Linked DNA regions of Caenorhabditis elegans. Each later gene encodes a partner of the first gene's protein in a complex. Each region holds a gene or a part of one and is shown on either strand. Other genes may lie near its edges. The genes, in order: sep-1 and ify-1. A codon is read from its position in the direction of its gene.

Region 1 (7,737 bases):
TTTTTATGATTTTTAAGCCGAAATTGATTTAAAAATATTTATTCAAAAATAATATTTTTCGACCTAAAAATCTTCAAATACAATGGAAAACATAACAAAAAAGACGAAAATTGCTTGAAACTAATTGAAAACGTTTGAATAATAATAATAAATACCTAACGAGACCCAACTGTGGCCGTGAAGCGCGTTTGCATATCGAGCGTAATAAAAATTGCGCTTAAGATCAGCTCAAATTCAAATTTTCAGTGAAAAATTGCACCCAAGAAGGTCTTTTCGCGTGTGGAGACGAGAATTGTGTCCCAAAATCGTTGGCGTGTAACGGGCGGCCCAATTGCCCGTACGGACGTGACGAACGTGTCTGCTCCGTCGGTCAGGACACGATTTTCAGCTTTTTGGCAAGCGGATTTGCTCCGCTTGTTTCGATTATTCTTATTGTGCTCATTGTGGTCTCACTCATTTGTTTCTACACTATACGCAAAAATAATTGTGGTAGGTGGCCCCGCGGATGGCTTTTCTCAATTTAAAGTGCCATATTTCCAGCTCTTCCTCCGATCCTCTGATGTCACTGAAAGCTGGTCCAAAATGAATAAATCATTCAATCATTTATTTTACACGATAATAATAAAACTTAGTTGACTAGTAGTGTCAAAGAATACAATAAGAAACCCGGGAGATAAGCACCTGTGCAAAATAAAATAACGATCCTTAAGATCCTTCGGGTCAGATTATATTACAAATTTCGGGATCTTGATGGAGTTCGGGCACTTGAGCGAGTTGTTCTAGTCGTCGGTGTTGCTGGAATAGGTGGTGCAACCAGCGGTTTCAGCTGCCGCGTTGTCGACCGTTTCGGAGCTTCATCATCTTCCTCTTGGAACGTTTTCACCTGACGAGGTGTCTTCAGAACTCTGCTTGGCATCCTTGCTCGGCTTGGAGACTTGTTCTCATTATTTGAGAAAATTGGAGTCATTGGAACAGACTTCGATGTAACAAATTCTTGTTTCGGTGTCTTCGGCACAGTTTCCATTCGCATCGAAGTTCGGGCTGAAGTCTTCGGAGTCTGCGGCAAGTTTCTCTGATCCTTTTCCACGAATGGCGTCGTTTGCTTTGCAACAACTGGCAATCCATACATCACCACAGCGGCACCGGTCAAATATTTCAGTCTGGCTTTTGATCTGGCCTCGTGCATAGCCTCCGATAGCTGACGAAGCTTGTCGATTCCGGTGAGCGATTTGGAATCTTCGAAACAATCATCGATCATTCGAATCAAGAAACGATCGATTTCACCATCAGTGACAGTCCATAAGCATCCAACGATCAGTGGACACTTTGCCATCGCGTAGTCCAGAATCGCCGTTTTTCCATCAAAACCGAGAGCTTGTGGAATTGTTCGGACACTAAAATAAAGGCAAAATTAGTTGAAAATCAATCAAAATAAATTATATTAACCTTCCACAACCCATCAGCAAACTGATCGCATTACACGTCGACTGCTTGAGCACAGATCGTGGCATAACCGAAGATCCAGAGCCATGTCCAATAAAGCTGGAAATTTTTTTTGTTGATATTCAATCCAGCTCAATCTCAGAACTTACAAAAACGCATCGCGTTGAGACAACGCGGCGCTAATCTCATTCGATTTTGGCGCCGAGCCAACAGTTCCTTCCCAATTGAACTTATTGATATATTCGACCATTCGTTTTTGTGTTTCGCCCAAATTGTTGTCAGGATCGAGAATGTAGTAGGCGTTTTGTACGTCGATTTGTAGAGGAATCTGAAGTTAAGAAATAATTTTTTTTTCAATAAAAACTTATATGGAAAGTATTTCAGCTGGTAATGCGTATTGCGCAGCATTGTTGATGCGCAAAATATCTCGTAGGGAAAACTACAGTAACTCTTCGAATGGCTACTGTAGCGCTTGTGTCGATTTACGGGATCTCGATTTTTGAAATGAATTTATTTTCGAAACCAAAAATCTAGAAAACAAATCGACACAAGCGCTACAGTAATCATTTAAAGAATTACTGTAGCTTTCCCTACGAGATATTTTGCGCATCAAATAGGTTGCGAAATACGCATTTTCAGAATTTTTGTGTATTCTGGTAATATTTTCCATTCAAGATCATACCTGTTTCTCCTGACTTTTCATTGCTTCCAACTGACTAAAAGTCGAGTGAATCGATACTTGACGTCCCACATATGGATACTCATCGAAAATCGGCAATCGCTCCCAACAGAATTGAGAAAGATGGGGACAGATGACAAGGTACGTGTACTTCTTTTCCGTAACAATCGAATCATCCTGATTCATTACTTCAACCGAATTCCTGTGCATCAGCGGCAGGAACGATTTGAACTTCTCATCGGTAGTTCTCATCTCACAGAATCGAAGAATCAGCGCTTCCCAGGATTTCGCATCCATCAACTTTGACTGATATACCATCTCCTTGGCCTCTCCCAGAAGGAGTCCTCCTTTCGACAACTTGTGGATTTTAATTGCAAGTTCTGCCGCTTTCGGGCCCAACTGTCCAGACGGCATCAGAAGACTCGCCGCAACACCTAGGAAATGCTTCTGAACCTCGTCAACAAACGTCATCATTCTACCATCCACAATTTTCCGTCGTTTCCAAAACTCTTCTGGTGTAATGTCTCCGGGATACTTTGCTATCATCTCGTCTTCATCCAACAAAAACGTGAATTTATCCATCAATTCGACGGCTTGAGAGTAGTGTGCCAGTGGCATGATGATCGGATCACGATCCGCGTGCAGTTTCACCAAATAAATCGTCTTATCATCGGCCATCGCAATCTGTACAAGCGTCATCTCGTCTGGCATCGACTGTACACACGTTTTGAAGCGATCATGTCCCGACATTGTCACCAATCCTCTCTTGCACTTCTCAAGTCGGCTCTGTACAGCGTTACGAGCTCCGATCTGTGTTGACTCGGCCCATGCGTACGCAGCCTCCCAAGGATCACGTGATGTTCTTCCGACGTAGGCGAACAAGCGGCAACGCCATTCTCTGGAAAATTTTTGAAATATATATTCATTTTTTAATTCTAAATTTCAAACCTGTATAGAATATGGCCGTAGTGGTTCATCTCGTTCCGCATGGCAAGCCGAACCTTCTCGAAGCGTTCCTTATCGAAAGGCTGAAGATTCTTCTCCAGTTTCTCAACTTTCGGACGACGTCCGAACGGAGAAACCGCGCGAAGAATGTCGACGGCACAATCGATCGTTGCCTTGACACGTGGTTTCCGGATCGTTGGCCGCATCCAGCTATAGTTGCATTCCATGGGAAACTCGAGTTGTCGTCCAAGTTGTGTCACTGCGAGAATCATATCGGTTGTTCGTTGTTGAAGATATCTCACGATCTGAAAGATGAAATTTCGATTTTCCCATTTTCCAAATCAAATATTTTATACCTTCAACGCGTTGTTGAAAATCTCCATCGTATCCTCGTCAGCACTTTCTTTCGAATCCAACTTTTTCGTCAGCCACCGGATCACACACATGCCGAAAATCTCGTTTTGAATGATATTCGGTCTCTGCAATAAGTTTGTATTTTATTGTTTTTGAATTTCCAGAGCAACCCACCGGCCTCACACTCGAGTCCCGATGCATCAGAACCTGACTAGACATTCCACGCTCTCTGATTCTCGCGAACTCGTCGTTGAAATGTTTGATGGAGAGTTGCGAGAAATCCGAGTGAATTGCGTAGGACATCATGTATTCGGCGGCGAATGAGCTATGCAGCGGGTAAATCGTGCAGACATTGCAGACGCAGGATCGGGTGATCGGATGGAATGATTGTTCATCGAGTCTGGAAGAGTTAATTGAATAATTTTATATTATGGGAGCGGCTTTCGTGTGATGTCTCAGAAAAATCGCTCGGTAGAATTTGATTTTTAGAAAAGCGGCTTTTTCAACACTTTTAAGCAATTCAGGTCATTCTAATGAAGGGTGTCGGTTTTTCGATTTTTTCAGAAAATCGAAAAACGAAAATTTTTCGATTTTTTCAGAAAATCGAAAAACGAAAATTTTTCGATTTTTTGATTTTTCAAAAATTAGCTTTATATTTTGGCTATTATTCTTCTTTTTAGAAGAAACTTGTATGTTTTTTTTCTAATAAATATATGCAAAAAAAATCATAGGTATTTTATGGTTAATTTTCTGAACATATTTTTGCGATTTTTCGATTTTCCAGGGAATCGAAAAATCGAAAATTTTCGTTTTTCGATTTTTCGATTTTCACTGAAAAGTATCGAAAAATGGCACCCTTGATTCTAATTCAATTGAGCCGCGACGCGACACGCAAAGCGCCGTAAATCTACCCCGGCCGGGGCCGAGTCCAAATGGCTTAATTCGGAAAATTCTTACATTTAAAAATTTGGGGAAGCCTGAAGCGCGTGATTCAGCTCGATAAAATCGAGGGGAAATTGATACGTTATTTTTAAGAATGTGGAAAACAGTTAAGCCTATTTTTTCTTGCGCGCCGTCTCTGTAGGGTCAAATTCTATTCTGAATCTAAATATTCCAGCAATCCAATTCTCACAATTCGAGATCTCCCAACAGATCAGCCAGATCAGGTCTCATCGTGTTCTGTTTCTCCGATACACTACTCCCTGCCATCGGTGTATGAGCTCTCGAAGTGGCTCCCGTCTCCTTCGGAGTGCTACACCGAACAATTATCGGATTAGACGACAGCAAATTAACACACGATACTCTCATTAATTTCGCGTTCTTCTCACTTCCGGCTTCTTCGATGATACTCGAATAGTAGGCTAATGTGTTGGTTGTCTGAAGAACTCGAAAGAATGAAGCCGATTTTAATGCGACACGAAGATTCAGAATCATTGCCGACATCGAATCACGAGTTTGGGCGGTGGTGACGTTGACGAGAGCACACTCCCGACGCATCTCAAAGTGCCAAGCGATTGTACTGCCAATGTGCACTGAAAATGTAGAAATTGTGTTTGAAATTATATATTTTTTTTTTCAACAATTTATACCATAATAATTGCTATCTTCTTGATGCCCGTCTAGAAATGGCCAAATTGATGCATTAACCGAGTTGTCGAATTGAGAGCTGGCGAGGCCAGGAATTCGATTACGCACAAGTGAATCACTTTTTAATGCTGCTTCTTGAATATGGGACACACGATCCGGGAACTGAAATAATTATAAAATATATTTTAGAACACAAAACCATCGCTTCATACCTCACACTCCCTGAGTGCGGATCCAACGGGAACATTGCTCAACGTTGAGCACAACCAAGAGACATAAGAAGCCAACTCGTATCTCGAAAATGAGCGAGTAGGATCCGATTTGACTTTATCGCGAAGCTTCATCAGCTTTTCGAGCATTTCCACGCGATACTCTGACTTTTTCAGGTAGTTCATCGCGAATTCGGTAGCCGAGAACATGTCTTTCGAGCTTTTATCCATTTTCCACGTCTTCAGCTTCTTCTCAATTAGCTCGGTCTCGCCGAGAAACATCAACCATCGAAGAGCAGCTTCCTTGGCCAGAGTGTCGTCTGATAGGTCGATGTAGTCGAGCAGGCACACGACTGCTCTGCACAGTTCTCCGTTGTAAAAGTAGAAAAAGCAGAGTTTCGCGGGAATACTCGCGAAAATCTCTCGATCTTTGCTCCGACACTCCATCGCCTCCTTTCGTAGAGTTTGCCACGTGATGAACATTTTGCATGCGGTTCGTTGATACTTCGCAAGTCCTTGAAAGTATTCGGACGAGGCGTAGTATGAGGTGATTCGAGCCAATTTGCTCAGCGAGTTCATGTCAATCGGTCCATTGACGCCGAATTCGGCGATAAAAAGCTCGGAAATCTCCTGTTGCAACTCGGCAGTTTGTTCGGCAAACCCGATCACCGTGCAGCTCACATTTTTGCGTAGCTCATCTAGTTTTTCGATGTGCTGCTTGTCAACTGACTTGTTTGTGATCTTCATGAAAGTTTATCTAGAAAAATTAAAATTAAACTGTTTTAATGGAATTAACATTATTACATACATAAAAAGCAAGTTTTTTGATTGATTTTCATTAAAAATCGAGGAAAAATTGAAAATGAAAGGGTTTCAACGCACGTTATCTTCTAAAAAATTTAAAAAATTTTCTTCTAGATGATACGCTTCACATACGCGACGCGTAACATTGGAGCAACGTTGTCACTTTTTCTTAAAAATCTCTTATAAGAGTTGGCACGGTGCCAGATCCGGAATTCCACCAGATCTTGAATTAAAATAAGTTTTTTTGCAAGTTTTAGCAAGTTGAAGCAAGTTTTTTTATTGATTTTCACCGGAAATCGAGGAAAATTGAAAATGAAACGATTTTCGAGGCAAAAATAAAAAATTTCCCTCCGATTTTGAAGTCCGTGAATGCGCGTGCGGTGCAACTGCGTACAAAACACCAAACTTTACGACAGTGCGGTAAATTCTACTTTTCAAAGTTTGAGCCCCAAAATTCGTTTAATTTTTGTTTAAAACTTTTCTTGTTTATTGAATTATTTACATTTTTTCAGTCGACATGCCGCGTATCAAGCAAGCGCCGACAAAGAGACACTCGTTTAAGCGAATGGAATCGAGAGAAGCCGACGAGGTTCTTAATAACGATCCAAAAAATGAATTTAGAAAAAAAAACCAACAACTTTTTTCCAGAGTTTTCTCGACGAGGAAGAAATCGAACGAATAAAGGAGGAACTTCAACGAGTGCAAAACGAGAAAAAGAAGCACATTCAGAGAATGCAAGCTCGACTCGAACAAAGTAGGCATTTTCCTGAATTTTTTCCCCTCACAAAAAACATTTATTGTCATTAAAGTAGTGAGAATTCTTCGGGAGAATGATTTCAAGTCGCATCAGAAGGGAATTTTGACTTCGGTGAAGTTTCGAGGAGCAATTGCCGGATATACGACGAATTGAAGCTCGTCTCCTGTAAAATAGAGATTTTTGATTGAACAGACTCAAAATGTGCTCAAATTAACAAATTTCGTTCATTTTAGCCCATTTCGAGGTTATAAACATGAAATTCTCACTTGGCAACGCCTTCTTCGAGTTGTATTCCATTTGATCGCATTCAATGGCAGTTTCCATGTCGATTGAATCTCCCGTAACAGCTGAAAAGCAAGTATAAATGTCAATTTCTGTCGGGAAAAAAATCCACTCACAATTTCCCGCTTTCGCCGGAGTCCCATACTGCGAGTTTTCGTTAACCTCCGAACGACTGCTAGCCATATCTTTTGCACTGATCAACTTGTTGCCCTTATCCACATTCAACGTATCCTGCTGCTGTTCACCGGAACTGTTATCCTTCACCTTCTTCTGCTCATCAACCTCTCCAGCAACTTCCGACTCGGCTTTCGCTGACTTTGCTGGAATCGCAGTTTTCATCGAATCGGCAGACAACTCATTCTCCTTATTTTCCTTTTCCTTTTTCTCCTTCTCTTCCTTCTCTTTTTCCTCTTTCTCAGCTTTTGCCATTCTTTCCATCTCGTCGTCTTCCCATTCATATGGATCCAGAAAGTTGATCTTCAGTCTGGTGATAGCCGCCATCAGCTGAAAAATTTCTTAATTGTTAATCGGATTCTATTTCGAGAAAAACGCTACCAGATTATAAATCTTCTCATAGTTCGGGCGATCTGCGTAGCTCAGAGTTCTCAGGTACTCGAAGATTGATTTGAGCTCGTCGGGGAGATCCTGTAAATGTGCAAAATGTTCAAAATGCCGAA
Region 2 (3,819 bases), on another chromosome or scaffold:
GAAAGAAGATCAAAAAACTGCTGACGACATAAGGTTTTCTTGCATTTTAATTTTGAAAATTCCAAACAAAGTTTAATTTTTTCAGAGGTGATGTCAGCTTGAGTTCCGCAAATGCCGATCGTAACACACTTCGCCAACGAATCAGAAGCATGTTGGGATCGAATCGTACATTATCCAATGTTGACCAATCCACTATGAAAATCTCAATGAAAGCCACCAATGTCTAAACACCTCGTCAAATGTATATTTCCATACTTATCCTACCACTGAGATTTTGCTATCCCGATGAATATAATTTGCTTCCATGTTTTTCACCCGATCTTTTCGATATTTTATCACTGCGCAGTCATTCATTTATAGGAAAGAAAATTACAATTTTTGCCAAATTTGTCTTTTCTTGTATTCATTTCTTTCGAAACGGAAAACATCCGTTTTTTCGCTTACGAGTGAATTAAATAATTTGAAACAAATTTCCTCTCAATCGTTTTTGCCTCGGTAAATGTCGAATTTCTGTCAAATAAATACTTCAATCCAACACCTGGAATATTAGATTAATTCAAACAAATTCCAAAAATGCTTCGCGAATTTTTTCTATGTCTTTTCATAGTAGACATCAAACGTCTTTCCGTACATATTTTTCGGGAAAAGCTCCTGGAAAACTTTTTATAAGACAAAAACATCTGAAACAGTTATAAAATACATTGATATACCGTTTCATTGTTCAGAGAATGGACATAGAAAATTACCAGTGGGGGGAATGATTGTGGGGCGAGGGTGATTTCGCCAATATATGTAAAACAGGTAGAAGAGGCTGACGTCGTGGGAAATCACAGGGGAAGGTTGGCTTCTTCGGCGAGGAGGTCGTAACTATCCAAATCGTCCGCAAGCATCGAAAAGAGTTCATTTCTTTCAGCCTTACTCATTTTCACTTCATCAATATCAGCAATAACAGTCCGATGGCGAGTTTCTTCGAGTTTCACATCACCTTCTTCCGCGAAATCCTCTGTTCTGAGCACATAATTGAAATCGTCGCCAATTCTTGAAGCTGGATCAATTGGTGGATATGAGTCCCATTCCTCGACTCCCAATTCAGCAAGAGCTTCTGCTTCAGACTCTGCCGGATCGATAACGTCTCCATATGGCCGATCTTCAGAAAGTACGACGTCTTGATCTTCCAAATTAAGCATATCGTCCTCAATGTCAGCAGCTAGCGAATCGAATGTTTCACATCGGTTTGCAGTGTCGATTGGAGAGCATGGATGTTTTTCGGTCTAGAAAATGATGAAAATAAAAATTATGAAGCAATACTTTTAATTGTTTTAAGATTAAAACTTCCGTAGTTTTCTTTTCTTTTAATAATTATGCTGGAAGAAAACATCACCTTTTTAATGGTGGCCACATCGGCAATCTGATCATCTGTCTCATCTTCATAACATTCAAAAGCAATTGGAATAGTGTTCTTCTTGGTTGAAGGTGGCACTTTACAAGCCGATGCCAAGCTCTGAAGCGATTTTCCGCCAGGAGTTTTTGACGAGTTTACAACCAGCCCCAAACCGCCACGAGAAGGTGTCTTTTCAAGTTCATTTTGTCTGCCTAGCTTTGCACCTAAAACAAAGACGTTATAAGTAAAATAAATATATTAAAATAAAACTTACTGAAGTGTTGTTGCAAGGAGGCTGGTATCTGGGTGCTTCCTCTTTCTTCGAAGTTTAGATCCTCCATTTTGACTTGTGCGAGTATGAATAGCTAGAAAGTACGAATGCCAGTTTTCAATTAGTAGGAATGAATACAAAAATTGTTTCGATGATGCAAAAGAATTTAAATTGTTCACGTTTTGCCGCAAAAAGATGGAAACAAAATGTGAAAAGGAAAAATCAATGATTTAAACTAGCCGGCGTCTTCGAAGTGCCATAGAGCGCAGATGCATAAGAGGGAGGTACGCACAGCTGAAACGAGTGTGACCGTAGTTATTGTCGTGTTGGGACGCCGACTTGGAAAATGAGTAGAGTTCTCGGCCTAAATTTGCTTCTTTTCTGGGTTTTACCTTCACGCAAGCTTTTTTCAGCAGATTTAAAACAATTTAATATTGTGTAGCTTTCGAAATCGTTTTTTGTTATTTTCATGATCGTTTATTCCTGAAGATGCCGATAATATTTTGTAAGATCTCAATTTTTACTTTCAGGTAATCATGGTCCCAAAGCCACACGCCAAGTCGGCCAAGAAGGCTCTTCGCAAGAAGAAGGTGCACCTCAAGTTCAACGTTGAGTGCAAGAACCCAGTTGAGGATGGAATTCTCAGAATCGAAGATCTTGTAAGTTGTAGGCTTTTTAAAATTAATCAGCCTCATCAAGTCGATAGAGTTCCCGTCTCTATCGCAAGACCAGGCTTAGGGTATATATTGGTCCCTAGTAAGTCCCGGTTGTTTTCAGGAAGCCTTCTTGAACGAGAAGATCAAGGTCAATGGAAAGACCGGACATTTGGCCGCTAACAACGTCAAGGTCGAGGTCGCCAAGTCCAAGGTCTCAGTCGTCTCCGAGGTCCCATTCTCGAAGAGGTAGCATTTTATTCAATCAAACTTGTTCTCATATTTTTATATTCAGATACCTCAAGTACCTTACCAAGAAGTACCTCAAGAGAAACTCCCTCCGTGATTGGCTCCGTGTGGTCGCTGTCAACAAGAACACCTACGAGGTCAGATACTTCCACATCAACGACGGAGAGGACGCAGGAAGCGACCACGAGTAAACTCGGTTTTTTGTTGTTGGAATAAATTGTTGTTTCAAATCAGGCTTCATTAGAAAAACAGCAATATGATTATTATCGAGTACCAGTAGGGAATGAGTGGTGAAGATGATTCGAAATCGGAATTTTGATGCAAAAATTTTCTTATCCAGGTTGTAACTCTGTTATCCTCCCCTGGTGGTATTTCGCAGAACTCGTGGATGGGTCGGTCTGGCCGGGATTCCTTTGCTTTGTTTTCGAATGTTCGCATGTCGCAGAACTGTTCTCCTCGGCATCCCTTGATTCTCGACGTGACAGTTTCGAAAGTTGAATGAACATTTTTCTGATACAGCACCTGCAATTATGCGATGAGATGGCATTATGAATCGAAACATACTCTGAAATAGGGCTTCTCGTCCGTTTTATTATGGAACAGTTCGATCGCGATATCTGAAGCATAGTCAGGCCACTCGCCATATTTCTCAGGTCCTGCAACAATATCCTCAATTCCTAACACAGCGAGGAGAGCGAATACTGTGTGATCATGCTGAAATTAAAATGATTCTATTATACAAGTACAGAGGAGTTGTGATTACTGTAGAGTAAGCGTAGTATTTCAGATTTTTGTGATAATTGTCACATTTGGCTTCATTTTTAGCACAAGTTGCTTTCGTTCTCATTCTTGCAGATATATCGTTTATCATTGGGCCACCCCGTGTTTTTAAGATTTCTCTTCGTACATTGATGCCTTGAACAATTGGCGGATCATAAAGTCCCGTAACGAATGCTTTTGAAGGTCTTTCTAAATCGTCAAGATTCTCAAAGAATTCATCAGAATACCATGTTTGATTTAGTACAGATTCTGGAAAGTGAATTTTCTGAAAATTAAATTTTAAAAGGTTTTAAAATTAAGTAGACCAAGTACTTGAATCATAACAGCATCATGAACTTGCCACATGTTATCCCATGTAAATGTTTGATTAAATAGTTCAGACAATAATAAAGTTGTGTTCACATACTGGAATTAAATTTTTAAATTATAACTGGTTTCACTTCTCATACCTTTTCAGATTGTACATAACTCTGAAACTGTTCTCC

The links.
Region 2: the proteins of sep-1 (region 1) and ify-1 are in contact, whole or in part, in a cryo-EM structure (PDB 5MZ6), measured with the Caenorhabditis elegans proteins. Residues at the interface, in NP_491160.1 of Caenorhabditis elegans: Asn22 (codon at 5,901), Cys25 (codon at 5,892), Ile28 (codon at 5,883), Glu32 (codon at 5,871), Ile55 (codon at 5,802), Asp56 (codon at 5,799), Met57 (codon at 5,796), Asn58 (codon at 5,793), Lys81 (codon at 5,724), Arg84 (codon at 5,715), Thr85 (codon at 5,712), Cys87 (codon at 5,706), Lys88 (codon at 5,703), Ile91 (codon at 5,694), Arg130 (codon at 5,577), Asp144 (codon at 5,535), Thr145 (codon at 5,532), Leu146 (codon at 5,529), Arg217 (codon at 5,316), Ser218 (codon at 5,313), Phe219 (codon at 5,310), Ser220 (codon at 5,307), Leu261 (codon at 5,134), Arg268 (codon at 5,113), Asn269 (codon at 5,110), Arg270 (codon at 5,107), Ser277 (codon at 5,086), Gln278 (codon at 5,083), Phe279 (codon at 5,080), Glu296 (codon at 5,029); in NP_494931.1 of Caenorhabditis elegans: Leu118 (codon at 1,211), Ala119 (codon at 1,208), Ala120 (codon at 1,205), Asp121 (codon at 1,202), Ile122 (codon at 1,199), Glu123 (codon at 1,196), Asp124 (codon at 1,193), Asp125 (codon at 1,190), Met126 (codon at 1,187), Leu127 (codon at 1,184), Asn128 (codon at 1,181), Glu130 (codon at 1,175), Asp131 (codon at 1,172), Gln132 (codon at 1,169), Asp133 (codon at 1,166), Val134 (codon at 1,163), Val135 (codon at 1,160), Leu136 (codon at 1,157), Ser137 (codon at 1,154), Glu138 (codon at 1,151), Asp139 (codon at 1,148), Arg140 (codon at 1,145), Tyr142 (codon at 1,139), Gly143 (codon at 1,136), Asp144 (codon at 1,133), Val145 (codon at 1,130), Ile146 (codon at 1,127), Asp147 (codon at 1,124), Pro148 (codon at 1,121), Ala149 (codon at 1,118).

What each region holds. Positions count from the first base shown.
Region 1 is NC_003279.8:3,432,570-3,440,306, forward strand, and holds sep-1 (Separin homolog sep-1), read right to left. Parts: upstream 5,975-7,737; 5' UTR 5,965-5,974; coding exon 5,221-5,964; intron 5,171-5,220; coding exon 5,011-5,170; intron 4,954-5,010; coding exon 4,554-4,953; intron 3,822-4,553; coding exon 3,596-3,821; intron 3,547-3,595; coding exon 3,424-3,546; intron 3,373-3,423; coding exon 3,071-3,372; intron 3,021-3,070; coding exon 2,126-3,020; intron 1,772-2,125; coding exon 1,593-1,771; intron 1,543-1,592; coding exon 1,447-1,542; intron 1,395-1,446; coding exon 731-1,394; 3' UTR 589-730; downstream 1-588. Other genes in the region: neto-1 (CUB domain-containing protein), read left to right, coding at 247-489, 541-560; nefr-1 (Protein kinase domain-containing protein), read left to right, coding at 6,539-6,610, 6,670-6,775; Y47G6A.13 (non-specific serine/threonine protein kinase), read right to left, coding at 6,868-6,941, 7,045-7,125, 7,177-7,564, 7,616-7,705. UniProt on the Caenorhabditis elegans protein: Cysteine protease, which plays a central role in homologous chromosome separation during meiosis I and in sister chromatid separation during embryonic mitosis.
Region 2 is NC_003280.10:5,053,434-5,057,252, forward strand, and holds ify-1 (Securin-like protein), read right to left. Parts: upstream 1,747-3,819; 5' UTR 1,723-1,746; coding exon 1,656-1,722; intron 1,606-1,655; coding exon 1,382-1,605; intron 1,272-1,381; coding exon 828-1,271; 3' UTR 702-827; downstream 1-701. Other genes in the region: F33G12.6 (PPM-type phosphatase domain-containing protein), read left to right, coding at 1-33, 86-227; rpl-22 (Large ribosomal subunit protein eL22), read left to right, coding at 2,189-2,311, 2,430-2,554, 2,601-2,745; C27A2.12 (Histidine acid phosphatase), read right to left, coding at 2,795-3,076, 3,119-3,268, 3,318-3,599, 3,647-3,739, 3,784-3,819. UniProt on the Caenorhabditis elegans protein: Acts as a chaperone and as an inhibitor for separase sep-1. Plays an essential role in maintaining chromosome cohesion prior to meiotic and mitotic anaphase, in cytokinesis and in organizing the spindle and the centrosome.